3 linked regions of the Kluyveromyces lactis genome follow. The protein of the gene in region 3 interacts with the protein of the main gene of each other region in a biochemical or structural test. Links are inferred from orthologs where the notes say so. Each region holds a gene or a part of one and is shown on either strand. Other genes may lie near its edges. The genes, in order: CDC28, KLLA0_F17545g and KLLA0_C17380g.

Region 1 (2,763 bases), on a different chromosome or scaffold from region 3:
GGTTTATACATCCTACATTTTTTTCTCAACATACATGATAGATAGTTTGTACGGTTTTTCTGGGAATGGGAATTAATCTCGAAGGTTGCAATGGAAAATTTGTAGATTTTGTTTTCGGATGGCAATCAGTAGCAATATGGGGGGATGTGAATAGAGAGAGAGAAGGTATGGGTTGAGTTGAGAGACATTACGTCAATTGAGCTGTCTCTTACCAGGCCTCGTCTTTAATTTCTTCAGGGATTCGGTCGGAATAATGGACAGACATATTAGCGATAGAGAGGGGATGTCGAGGATAGGTGACTAGGTAGATTTGCGTTCAGCCAAACTAGCAATGGCGTAACGTTAACGAAGAGCCCCAGGCCTAGGGGAGGGGGGCGGGTTTCAATTTGCTTCGGTTTTTCTTGCTCTTAGTTCTTTCTTTTTGGGCGCATTGCTGTGGCACAGGCAAGGAAATCAAGGCCCGTTTTTTTTTTGTTTTTGTGGTATGTTTGCAGCATCTCTCGAAGGGCTGTTGGATGGGACAAAAAGAAATGGAATGTGGAGTTCCGGGTAATATAAGTCACGTGAATACACGTGACTGGTATTGTTTTTATTATATATCATATACATGAATATACGCGCCTCCTGTCACCAACACTCTCACTCCTCCTTGAAGTACGGGTGTTGTACTGCTCTTTTGGCGCTAATGCGGTGGATTGGATCGTAGGTGATCAATTTGTCCAAGAGATCGATACCGTTTGCATCTAGCGATGGAATTACCTCGGATAAATTACGACGGTTCCATTTAGGGAATGTAGTCTTGAAATCCGGTAGATAAATAATATCCGGCCATGTTCTCTCGTTTGGTGTGCCTAACACTCGGAATATCTTGAAGATCTGATCAATTTCACTGTCTCCGCTGAATAACGGTTTCCTGTTGCACATCTCGGCAAATATACAGCCAATGGACCATACATCGACCCCTGTACTGTACTGTTTCCCACCTAATAACACTTCTGGTGCCCTATACCATAAAGTGACGATCTCATGGGTGTACGCTCTCAAGGGGACACCGAATGCACGTGCAAGGCCGAAATCTCCCAACTTCAAGTTCCCATCTCTGTTGATCAATAGATTCTGCGGCTTCAAATCACGATGTATGATCCTATGAGCATGGCAATAAGCAATTCCCTTGCACAATTGCATCATAAACTTCTTTATAATGTTGCCTCCCAATGGCTGGTCCTTGGGGATCGATTCCATGTATCTTTTCAAATCAAGATCCAAAAATTCGAACACTAGATATAACTTGTGCGCGTCCGAGTGCACGATGTCATATAATCTGACAATGTTGTCATCCTTCAGTTCCTTCAATAATGAAATCTCACGTATCGCAGTACTGGGAACACCTTCGTCTTCAGATTCTAATCTGATCTTTTTCATTGCTACCACTCGATTCTGGTGACGCAAATCAACCGCTTTGTAAACAACACCATAAGTACCTTCTCCGACTTTCTCAAGTCTCTTGTAGTTTGTTAATTCGGACATCCTGGTATAGGGTGGATTTCTTGTATGATGCGACCTTGCTGTTCTGTTTCTTTACTACTTTCAAGTTTTAGGTAGGTACAGATTGTTCTCTTTTGCAGCAGTATATTCAGATCAAGTAAAATTTGCTGTGCTCGCGTATAAATATGCGTCAAATCAAATAATCAACTATCACTCAGTGCTTATGGCTCTAATATTACCCTGGTATGTGCCTTCTTTCTAACAGATTAACGTTGCCTTAATACTATATTAATATCTTCGAAATTGTGTTTGTATTTTCTTCGTTTTAAGGTCAGAAGGTCAATAATGAGCTTTACGTGTAATTGAAAAGAAAGAAAGGTTTGGAATTGTAAGATGAACGCAGGGATTTTGTAACGTATAGGGCATTGCTGAACGGTTTTTTCAGTATACTTTCATGTTACAGAATATTTAACACAGAAACTTACAAAATTTATACACTTCTACAGGTTCCAATAATTATGGTTTCTTTGTCAGGATATCGCACAATAATCAAACGTTACTACAACAAATCTATTTAAACCTGCTCCTTATATCAAAACAAACTAATATTTTGGAGACAACTCTTTTTATTGCTTCTTGGCTTGTCTTTCAGCCTTTTTCAAAGCTCTCTTTCTGATACTCAAGTGGAAGGAATAATTAATTGAATTAGCAATCTTAGAGTACACACCGACGGTGTTCTCGATAATGAAATGGTATAATGCATGAGACCAATACGGCGTGGAGGTTGCAAAACGCTCTTGGGCACCACAGCGTTTGCCAATGGAGTTCAATGTGGATCTCACGAAAGCCTTTGGAGAAGGGATCAATGCACTTGATCTTCTAATCTTAGACATTGCACTGGTAACTAAGTAAGATAACACTAACTCAACATCGATAGAATCGCTAGATAATTCACCAGCTAGGGCGTTAGACCAACTTTGTAAAAATGCCTTGGAACCACTGTATGTAGCTAAGAATGGGGTAGGTAGCAGACCACCAAAGGAACCCATTGTCAAGATTAGACCACGACATTTCAACGTCTTAACGCTTGCTTTTAATTGTGGTAACAAAGTTTGTGTGATCATTAATGTCGCAGTATTGTTGATAGTAATTATATCTCTCAATTCAGATTCTTCGGTTTGATCAAATGGTACTGGAATCGAATGAGACTTACCAACATTATTGATCAAAACAGTTACAGGTAAACCCGACGCAACTTCTCTAATTAAAGTATAGTTC
Region 2 (4,390 bases), on a different chromosome or scaffold from region 3:
TAACATATATATGTATATTTCCCAAATTATATAGGTATATGCTTGACTGGAAAAGAAATCGCAGAAATAACGAGACCTTCAAAATCGGAACGAACCATACATGGATTCTTTTCATTTTGCTTCAAGAATCATGTACTTGCTTCTGCAACTGTTCTATCAGTAGATCTTTGGACTGCAGTTGCGTCTTCAGCTCATTTATTTGAAGGGCGAGTTCGTTAGGAGATGGCTTTATACCATGTTGGTATAATAAATTCTGTTCTTCTGCAATGAAACGTTTGAGCCTTTCTTCGTTCAAATTTTGAATCAACTCAACAATCTTTGACGATTTTTTCCTTAATTCCGTTTCGAAATCCAGTAGAGAAAGAGCCTGAGGTGACTCTGGTTCCTTCGGATTCTTTGATTCTAATTCACTTTCTAATCTACCTTCCCTTGCGATAGACTCGGCTAATTCCGTGGAAACCAATTGTAGCTCTTGCATCAACATCATATTTTGTTTCAAAATATTCAAATACTCTTCAGTGATCAACAGGGGTTGTTTGGGATCCTTTTCAGAAGCAAAAGATGGCTTATATGGCAACGCGGAAATAGGTTCAGCCTTCTGTTTTACATATTCTTTCTCAAGACAAGGCACTTCCTGTATCTCTGTGCTTTCACCAATAATCATCGACTTACGAATTTGCAAAGTTGATCTGTCAAATGTCTTTTCCTTATTACTATATTGGTCGTGGTGATTACCAGCAGATGACGCGGAAAAAAGAGAATGATATGATATTCTACGTTTATCGCTGGATGCACCCGATTTCGCCCTGAAAGTATCATTTAACTGGATTTCGGATCCTTCATCTACTGCCATCGAACTCCTGCTGCTTCTAGCGGACGAAGGTACAGTAGTGAGCGGTCTTTGATCGCCACTCTTCGTCCTTTTGATCTTCATCAAAAAGTTCTTCGCTTTCTGGAAACTGCTGCCTGATTTCTTCAAGCCTTTTTCACCAGAACATGCGATATAGGAATCATGTTTTGATTGTAGTACTTCGTTAGTATTACTATTCCCACTGTCGACCGCCGCATGGGCTTTTGATACAATTGATTCAGTTCTATTGACGTTGTCGCCAAAGTTTCGACTGGAAGAGTTGTCCGAGATTTCAGGATTTAATATTGGTGATAGATCCACGGGAATATTTTGTATCAAGGCGGTGGATGGCCTGAGATTTATGTCATCATTCAAAGAATCTTGCTGGTTGCTTTTCGTTTCCGAGGAATCCACTAGGTCGTATTCCTTTTCCGTTTTTTCCTCCTCGATCTGCAACACTTGTCTTGCGGGTTCACTTAACGTTAATATATTCAATTTCACCAATGAATCAGAATCATATTGCTCATCGCTATGTGAATGATCCTTATTCCCGCTGTAGGTTTGTTGATCTTCTTCTTCCTCGTTAAAGCTAGGAAGAGCCTTGTCTTTTTCAAAGTCCTCATTATCATTCGACAAAGTGGCATGTAGTTGGTATTTCACCGGTGATCTTGGCAGTGATGGTATCTGATTTTGTTCATCGAATGATGCGTTCGAGGGAGTTGTCGGAGAACTTTGTTCAGAAACCCTACCAGAAATGACGCTATTCACACTGGCATATGAAGAGGATGAGCCCGATGCCGCCTTATTCACCAGCTGCTGTGGTTGTGGCGGAGGGGCTAATGAGCTTGTTGCTTGTCTTTCATTGAATACATTATCCTGCGATACATTTTGTTTTGGTTGATAAAATGGTTGCGGATACGATTGAGTTTGCAGGGACATGGCTCTTGGACCAGAGTTTGGACCATATTGGGAGCTACCAGTAACAGGTGGACCTCTTGCCGGCACTGGTCCATTAACTTGACCAGGAAAACCCATGTTACGGGATCCTGTTGGTGACGCGGCATACGGACCTTGATAACCGTTTCTAAACTGTGAATTTCCGTTCATTTGAGTTGGTGGACGTCTGTCAGCAGTTAACGACATTGTGCGTGGGTCATTTGGAGGACCTTGTTGGGGAGGATACCCTGGTCTACCAGCCATCGGCGAAGCCCCCCCTCCCATCAAAGAGTTGAATCTGCTACCGTTTGGAGGCCTAGGGATTCTTGATTGCTGAGGGCCTGCTGGACCCATCATTGTTCCCGGGCCAGAAACACCAGGCCTTACCATAGGACGTTGATGATAATTTTGCAAGGACATTGTTCTAGGACCACCTGGAACTGAGGCACTGAACTGCGCTTGCTGCTGCTGCTGCTTCGCAAGACTGTTAAATGCCATTTTCTTTTGATTCATCATAAGTTTTCTATATTCTATATTGTTCATTGAGTTTGTGTTTCCGGAAGTCACGATGGTCGGTATTATTGGAGAGGTATCATCTAGATGTCCACCGTAACCGTATGCGTGCCCACCATTGTTTCTCATGGAAGAAATATCATTGAATGTAAGGAAAGAGGAATCATGATCCGAAAAGTCTGTATTATCGTCATCCTCATTAGCTTTTTCGTCATATTGACTGTGTCTCTTTTGATTGAGTTTCTTGTATTTACCCTTGAAGAAATTAGAGAAGGAAGCAGTAGAAGAACTCATGGATGATTTCCTACTACTGTCTCCTGGGTAATCAAAATGTGGTCTTGGTTGCATCTGCAGAGATTGTTGTCGAGGCTGTTGCATGTAATTATATGACGAAGGGTTGTAATTGGACTCGTACTGCTGGGCTTGTAACGGAACTACAGGTGGGGCCATGGGGCCTGTATTTCCCTTCTGCTTGTTTATCTGCTGCTCCTTAGTAATATCAATATTCCCTATATCGCTGTGAAGTAACTGGTTCCGCAGCTGGGCCTTGGAAGACATGCCCGCTCCACGTCGTTGATCAAGCGCAGTAACACCGGCATCCATATTCCACGATCAGAAAAGGTTAGAAATAAAGCACAACCTACAAGAAACGAAAAGATGGCTAGTTGTAAAATGAGCTGCACTTACGTATAGAAAAGTTCCTTTAACAATGACAAACAAACAATCTAAGGACTTACCTCTAAGTTGTTATCAAAAGTCCTGATGTACCAAAGAAGCGTTCCAAAATCGGTAGGGAATAAGTCAATTACACTCGTACTGTGGATTGGTTCCTCTGGATTATAAATTCTGCCAGAACCTAGGCTAAATGACTGTACTAGAAAGAGAATAGATAAAAGGAAATACAACCTATTAATAGTGACTAAGTCCAAAACTCAAACTGATTCCTAAATTGTTTGAACAGACCTAAGATTCATTTACTTTCCGTTCATATTTTTTTTTTTTTCTCAAAACGAAATCTGAATGCCATAGAAGTTCCGAGCGAACATGAAATGTATGGATTATGCATGAAACAATAACGAAGAGTGAAAAAGGAAACGGAAGGCAGCTATTTAGGATGTGCCTTTACACAACGTTGTATATAATAGATCGTAGTAATCTGACGAAATAATGGCTTCTGCAACCTTTGTATTTGAATTAAATTTTATATGGTTCCCAAATGTTACAAGTCTATGCAGTGGTTATTGCGTTTAAAAATGATTTTACTTACTGTCCAATGTAGTCTAATCAGAAAGTTGCTCAGGTGAGAGAATGGTTTATCACCAGCTTAAGCTCTTCTTGATTTTGTTTTCCTTTTTTTAGGTGTAGATGATGGTTTAGGATCAGGTTTCGCAACACCCTCTAGATTTATCTCTTCAGAGGGCTTGGAAGGCTCAGTCTTATCAGTCTTTTTAGATTCAGCTGTTTGTAGATCTTCGTTGGTAACAAGCTTTGTGTTTTGTAATTCGTAGATGAACCACGTCACGGTGATCCATAGTAGAGTGGCGATAATCGTTAATGCGATGAAATGGATATTTTTGGTTAAATAGATCTGCGATCCCAACACGCAAAGCAATAGTGCAAACGAGATATGAGTAGCAATGATCAATTGAGGCGATGTTCCTGGTTGGAAAATGCTTTCCCACAGTGCAACAACAAAGTTAGTCATTCTTGAGTGTCTCAGGTGAATTTCGTTTTTTATAGTGGTTGGCAACGGAGGATTATAATATGCTGTACTAGAAATCGATGATGAGCCTGGAGTAGAAATCAGCAAGGTATAGCCAGAATGCAAGTGAACAAGCTTGTAAGTATGAAATGACGACTTCCTATTCTGATCGAGCCGGGTGTATTATGTTATGTCACTGGCAAACGTATGTATATGTATAGAAGAATTTTACTTTTAAAACTTTAATATAGAGATTTTAAGATACAGATTATGTATGTCAAACTTATAATTTACAGACCGATAACAGAGGAATAATGAAGTTAAAGATAAAATGGAATAGAAAAGGGACCACATCAGAGTACTATTGGAGAAACTGATGATTAGGGTGT
Region 3 (4,134 bases):
TTTCTGACTCGCTTTTGTTGGCATCGACGGCCTTCTGATCGTCATTAACTTTTGAATTATCAGAAGCAGTTACTATAGGCCTTAATGGAGAAATAACCAATTCGGCAGTAGGTGATGGGGATGGCTCTTTTTGTTTCAAAGTTGGAGTAACGGCAGGGATAGGAACGAGTTTTATATTCTTTTTGTTTACAGTTATCGAAGGTACAGATTCAGATTCAGATTTAGCATTTTCTTCAGATTCAAAATTGAATGACTTCTCATTTAAGTCGACATCCTCTGTTGAAACTTCAATAGGTTGTGGATGTACCACTGGCGAAAAAATTCCTTTCAAATTTTTTTCTTCGTTGGTTCCGTTTTCTTCTTGTAGATGCTTTTGCTTCATGGTTTGTCTTAACACTTCATATGTAGAATTCCCATCGTCCTCCTCCTCTACACTTTCGCTTTCAGTTTCTTCATCATTGCTGTTGTATATGTCAGAATTAATATTTTGCAATAGCTTTCCCTTTTCTGGAGATGATAACTCAAAAGGATTTGGGTCTTTAAAGTCAGAAGGAACAACTGCTGATGATTTTTTGGCAAGTGGCGAAGTAGGTAGAAGTGAATTGCTGGCTGAAGCAGACTTAATTGCATCAATGGTCTTCAATTCTCTGCGTTCGATTATAGGAGCATTGCTTTCCGATTTGGAATTGTTATCCAGAGGTAATTCTAACTGCAATATATTCTTGGATTTCTTTGATGCGTTATCTTTCTTCATACCCCCATTAAGCATTGCTGTAAATAAGCCAGTTCCAGAGGGCTTTCTAACTGAAACAGGCCTTGATGACGCGTCGTCGGTATTTTTTTTCTGGGTAATTTTCAAAGGTTTGACCGGAGACATTTCAACGCTATCAGCCCGAGAAGGAAGAAGTGATGGTTTGTCTAAAACACTTCCCTCGTGTAAACCTTTAGCAAAGTTATTCGAGGTTTGTCTATTTTGCATGGAGAGGCCAAGTGGACTATCCAGTTGATCACCAGATTTATTTGATGTGAATATTTCATCGTTATTGGATCCGCCATTTACCGTCTTAACCAAATCATAGATTGCAAATGAGATTTCTGAAACAGAATTTTCAAGAATAACTCTTGATAATGGAGTTTTATAGCTGCTGAAGTAACGCACAGATGTGATAGCATGTGATATTGTGTTCTCTAACACTAGTCTCATGGTCTTTGTATCTGGGGAGTGAACTAAAGTTAAAATTTTTGAACAATATTCTGAAATGGAAGCAATGTTCTCGAATAAAAACAAAACTGGAGGTTCAGGTGACACAATGAGGCTTAGTATTTGTGATAACTTGGAATCCAAGTCGTCGATGAGATTTGACGGTATTATACTAGTTTCAGGGAAAAGTTGCTTGTTTGAAATGGGGGCCATAGAAGAAGAGCTTGTTCTGACAGGTTTTTCAGCAAAAGCGTCTTCATACTTTGATTTCCAATAGGCAGCATCCTTCCCTGATTTACCGTCAATCGATTTAACTGGAGACTGTATATTTTTCAATTGCAGCTGAAGTTCTAGTTTTTCTTGTTTGAGTTCTTCGTTTTCTATTGACAGTTGATTTAGTTGAGTAGTCATTTCGGACATTCCCTTTTGGAAATTACTATCTAGAGCTTTAGTAGTACTTGATTGGTCGGCATTCTGTTTCAATTGCTGAACTTCTTCTGTTAATCGTTGATTATTGGTCTTCAATTCATCTAATTGATTCAAAAGTTCTGATTTTTCTCTCTCCAAAGTTGTAATGGTACTGTCCAACTTATTCCCTTCCAGAACTAATAGCTCTATATCACGATCTTTGTTACGTTCTACCGATTGAGACAAGGATCCCATTTTATTTTTATTACTGGTGAAAGGCGACAACCCAGCACTTGCAGCCATTGCTGTAGTGGCAGCAGTTTGAGCCAATGGAGTTCTAGCCTCACTGGATTGTGATAACGGTCTCTCTGAGAACGTGAAATGGTCATCTATGGAAATCGGACTTCTATTTCCCACAGGTGAGGAAGCTGTAGGTTGAGGTGGGCTTTGTGTTTCATCTGGAATAATGACCGGGGACTGATTTAGTGAAAACGCTCTATCTATCTTAATAACGTCATTGTCTTCACTAGCTAATTCCTTCTCATCAGCTTCTGGTTTGTGATCCTCTTCATCTGAACTCCAGTCGATTGATGCTGTCTTTGGAATGACTGTAGAAGTCTGCAAAGTTGCATTAAGTGCAGAATTCTCATCTTCTGGTAATTTTTCCACCGACGTATTATTTATACTGCTAGGTACAATTGGCGATGGCTTAGAATCAAGTACGTGTAATGCAGGAGAGGAGACCTCTGCCTTGTCATTCGAATTAAAATCTTCATCAGTATCAGCATTTGGGAATTCCTGATAATCTGCTTCTTCTGGTTCAGGTAACGTGTCAAACCCACGTCTTCTGATTTCGAAAAGAATATCATCGACCAAATCATTAAATCTCGCATTGGATAAGTTCGCCAATTTTTGTCTTGCCTGGTTCCTCTTTGCATGGAAACTTTCATTAGGAACTAAATAGTCATGTTGTGGCTGTGATTCATCAATTCGTCTTTGCAATTCGTCGCTGACGTCAGTACTCAACTCGAAAAACTGTGACGAAGAAAGTTTTAACAGCTTTGAACGTGCTTTCTGAGCACGCGATGTCATTGATCTATCATGGCTACCACCGGTAACCTCAAAGAATTGTTTTAAAGCAACATAATAATTATGGATCTGCACTTTTTGTGCATATTTCAGTTCCTTAGCACCCTCTTTCATTTGGAACGGTAAAATGAAAACAAATTATCAAACAATGGTCAATTAAGAACACGTATTAATGTCAATTGCAATTGTCACTGAGGACACTCGTTTCAAGTATAATGGTCAAAAAAGGGAAGTGAAATCGAAGAAACCAGTGTGTCTGTAAATAACTCAATTCGATACTTTCCCAAGTTTAAATAATTGACGGCCTTCTCCTTTTAAGACTTGTATCGTCTTTACCAAACCGCTACCGCTGATTCACAACAACTCGCACTTATTTCGTAATGATGAATACTTGATTCTATACAATTGACTTTCTTTCATGAAGAAGAGTTAATCCACTGTTTAATTCGAATTGAAACAAGATTCTAATTCCAATATTTCAATTTCCATACCTAAGAACTCATCGTTTTTTCAGCCAAAAGAAAAAAAGCGTTCTTACTACACCTCGTTCTTCGTGATAACGCGTAATTTTATTGAAAGTTTGGCGTTTTCTTTCACGTGATGAGAAGAAAAGAGAATCGATAAAAAAAATAAAAAAGAAATGCTGCTTCTGTGGATCGAACACAGGACCTTATGAACTTCAGTCATACGCTCTCCCAACTGAGCTAAAGCAGCGATTTCTGTTGGAAATACAACTCTTCGGATACCAATACCTTGGTGATTTGGGCAAAATGTATGCTAAGCATCGCACTTACGAAAGCATTGCAACAATGAGTGTGAGCAATTATAGTATAGCATTGAATTATACTAGAATATACATGCATATTATTAGGTTTTGTTTTAGTATATCTTTTTCTATTATATACATCAAACTTTTCTTGGTAGTCGTCCGATTGTCAGTAGACCTTTCAAGAGTTCCGGAATCGTGACGTGTAAATGCAATTCACCATCGTCGTGACCTGTCTTTGCAACCATGGCGAGCTTGTCACGAGCTATTAGATACCCACGAATCATCCATAGGAAAAATGCAGCTCCGAAATATCCCATACCGGAGAAAATGGCTGTATTCACGTATTGGTTGGCAACTGTTGGATCGTTACTACGTAGTCTTAGACCAATGATTGGGGAAACAATGGACATCATGCCGATACAAGGCCAGGTGAAAGAATAAATGGCTGGTAACTTGTTAAGACCACCGATTCTGGAAATGATACTTGTTTGTAATGGCCAGATACTACCCATTAATGCACCGGATAGGAGCCCGAATGCAATGGCAGTGGCAAGATTTCTGCATGGGATCCACATGGCAAGACATATGATACCAACAATAGCATGAACTATGATCCCCACAGTTACAGGCCCGTATTTATCAGCAACATGACCAACAGCTGGTCGAA

The links.
Region 1: of the proteins of KLLA0_C17380g (region 3) and CDC28, one has a biochemical effect on the other in vitro, tested with the Saccharomyces cerevisiae proteins (2 studies listed by BioGRID). The link is inferred for Kluyveromyces lactis from reciprocal best matches to the Saccharomyces cerevisiae genes SPA2 and CDC28.
Region 2: the proteins of KLLA0_C17380g (region 3) and KLLA0_F17545g form a complex in vitro, tested with the Saccharomyces cerevisiae proteins (2 studies listed by BioGRID). The link is inferred for Kluyveromyces lactis from reciprocal best matches to the Saccharomyces cerevisiae genes SPA2 and EPO1.

The regions. Positions count from the first base shown.
Region 1 is NC_006038.1:854,688-857,450, forward strand, and holds CDC28 (cyclin-dependent serine/threonine-protein kinase CDC28), read right to left. Parts: upstream 1,528-2,763; coding exon 640-1,527; downstream 1-639. Other genes in the region: IFA38 (ketoreductase), read right to left, coding at 2,112-2,763. UniProt on the Saccharomyces cerevisiae protein: Cyclin-dependent kinase that acts as a master regulator of the mitotic and meiotic cell cycles. Required to drive the G1-S transition. More than 200 substrates have been identified. Substrate specificity is in part regulated by the bound cyclin protein.
Region 2 is NC_006042.1:1,609,718-1,614,107, forward strand, and holds KLLA0_F17545g (uncharacterized protein), read right to left. Parts: upstream 2,903-4,390; coding exon 122-2,902; downstream 1-121. Other genes in the region: PKR1 (Pkr1p), read right to left, coding at 3,624-4,004.
Region 3 is NC_006039.1:1,523,394-1,527,527, reverse strand, and holds the start of KLLA0_C17380g (uncharacterized protein), read right to left. Parts: upstream 2,813-4,134; coding exon 1-2,812. Other genes in the region: KLLA0_C17336g (MCT family MFS transporter), read right to left, coding at 3,605-4,134. UniProt on the Saccharomyces cerevisiae protein: Involved in pheromone-induced morphogenesis and efficient mating, perhaps as a cytoskeletal protein.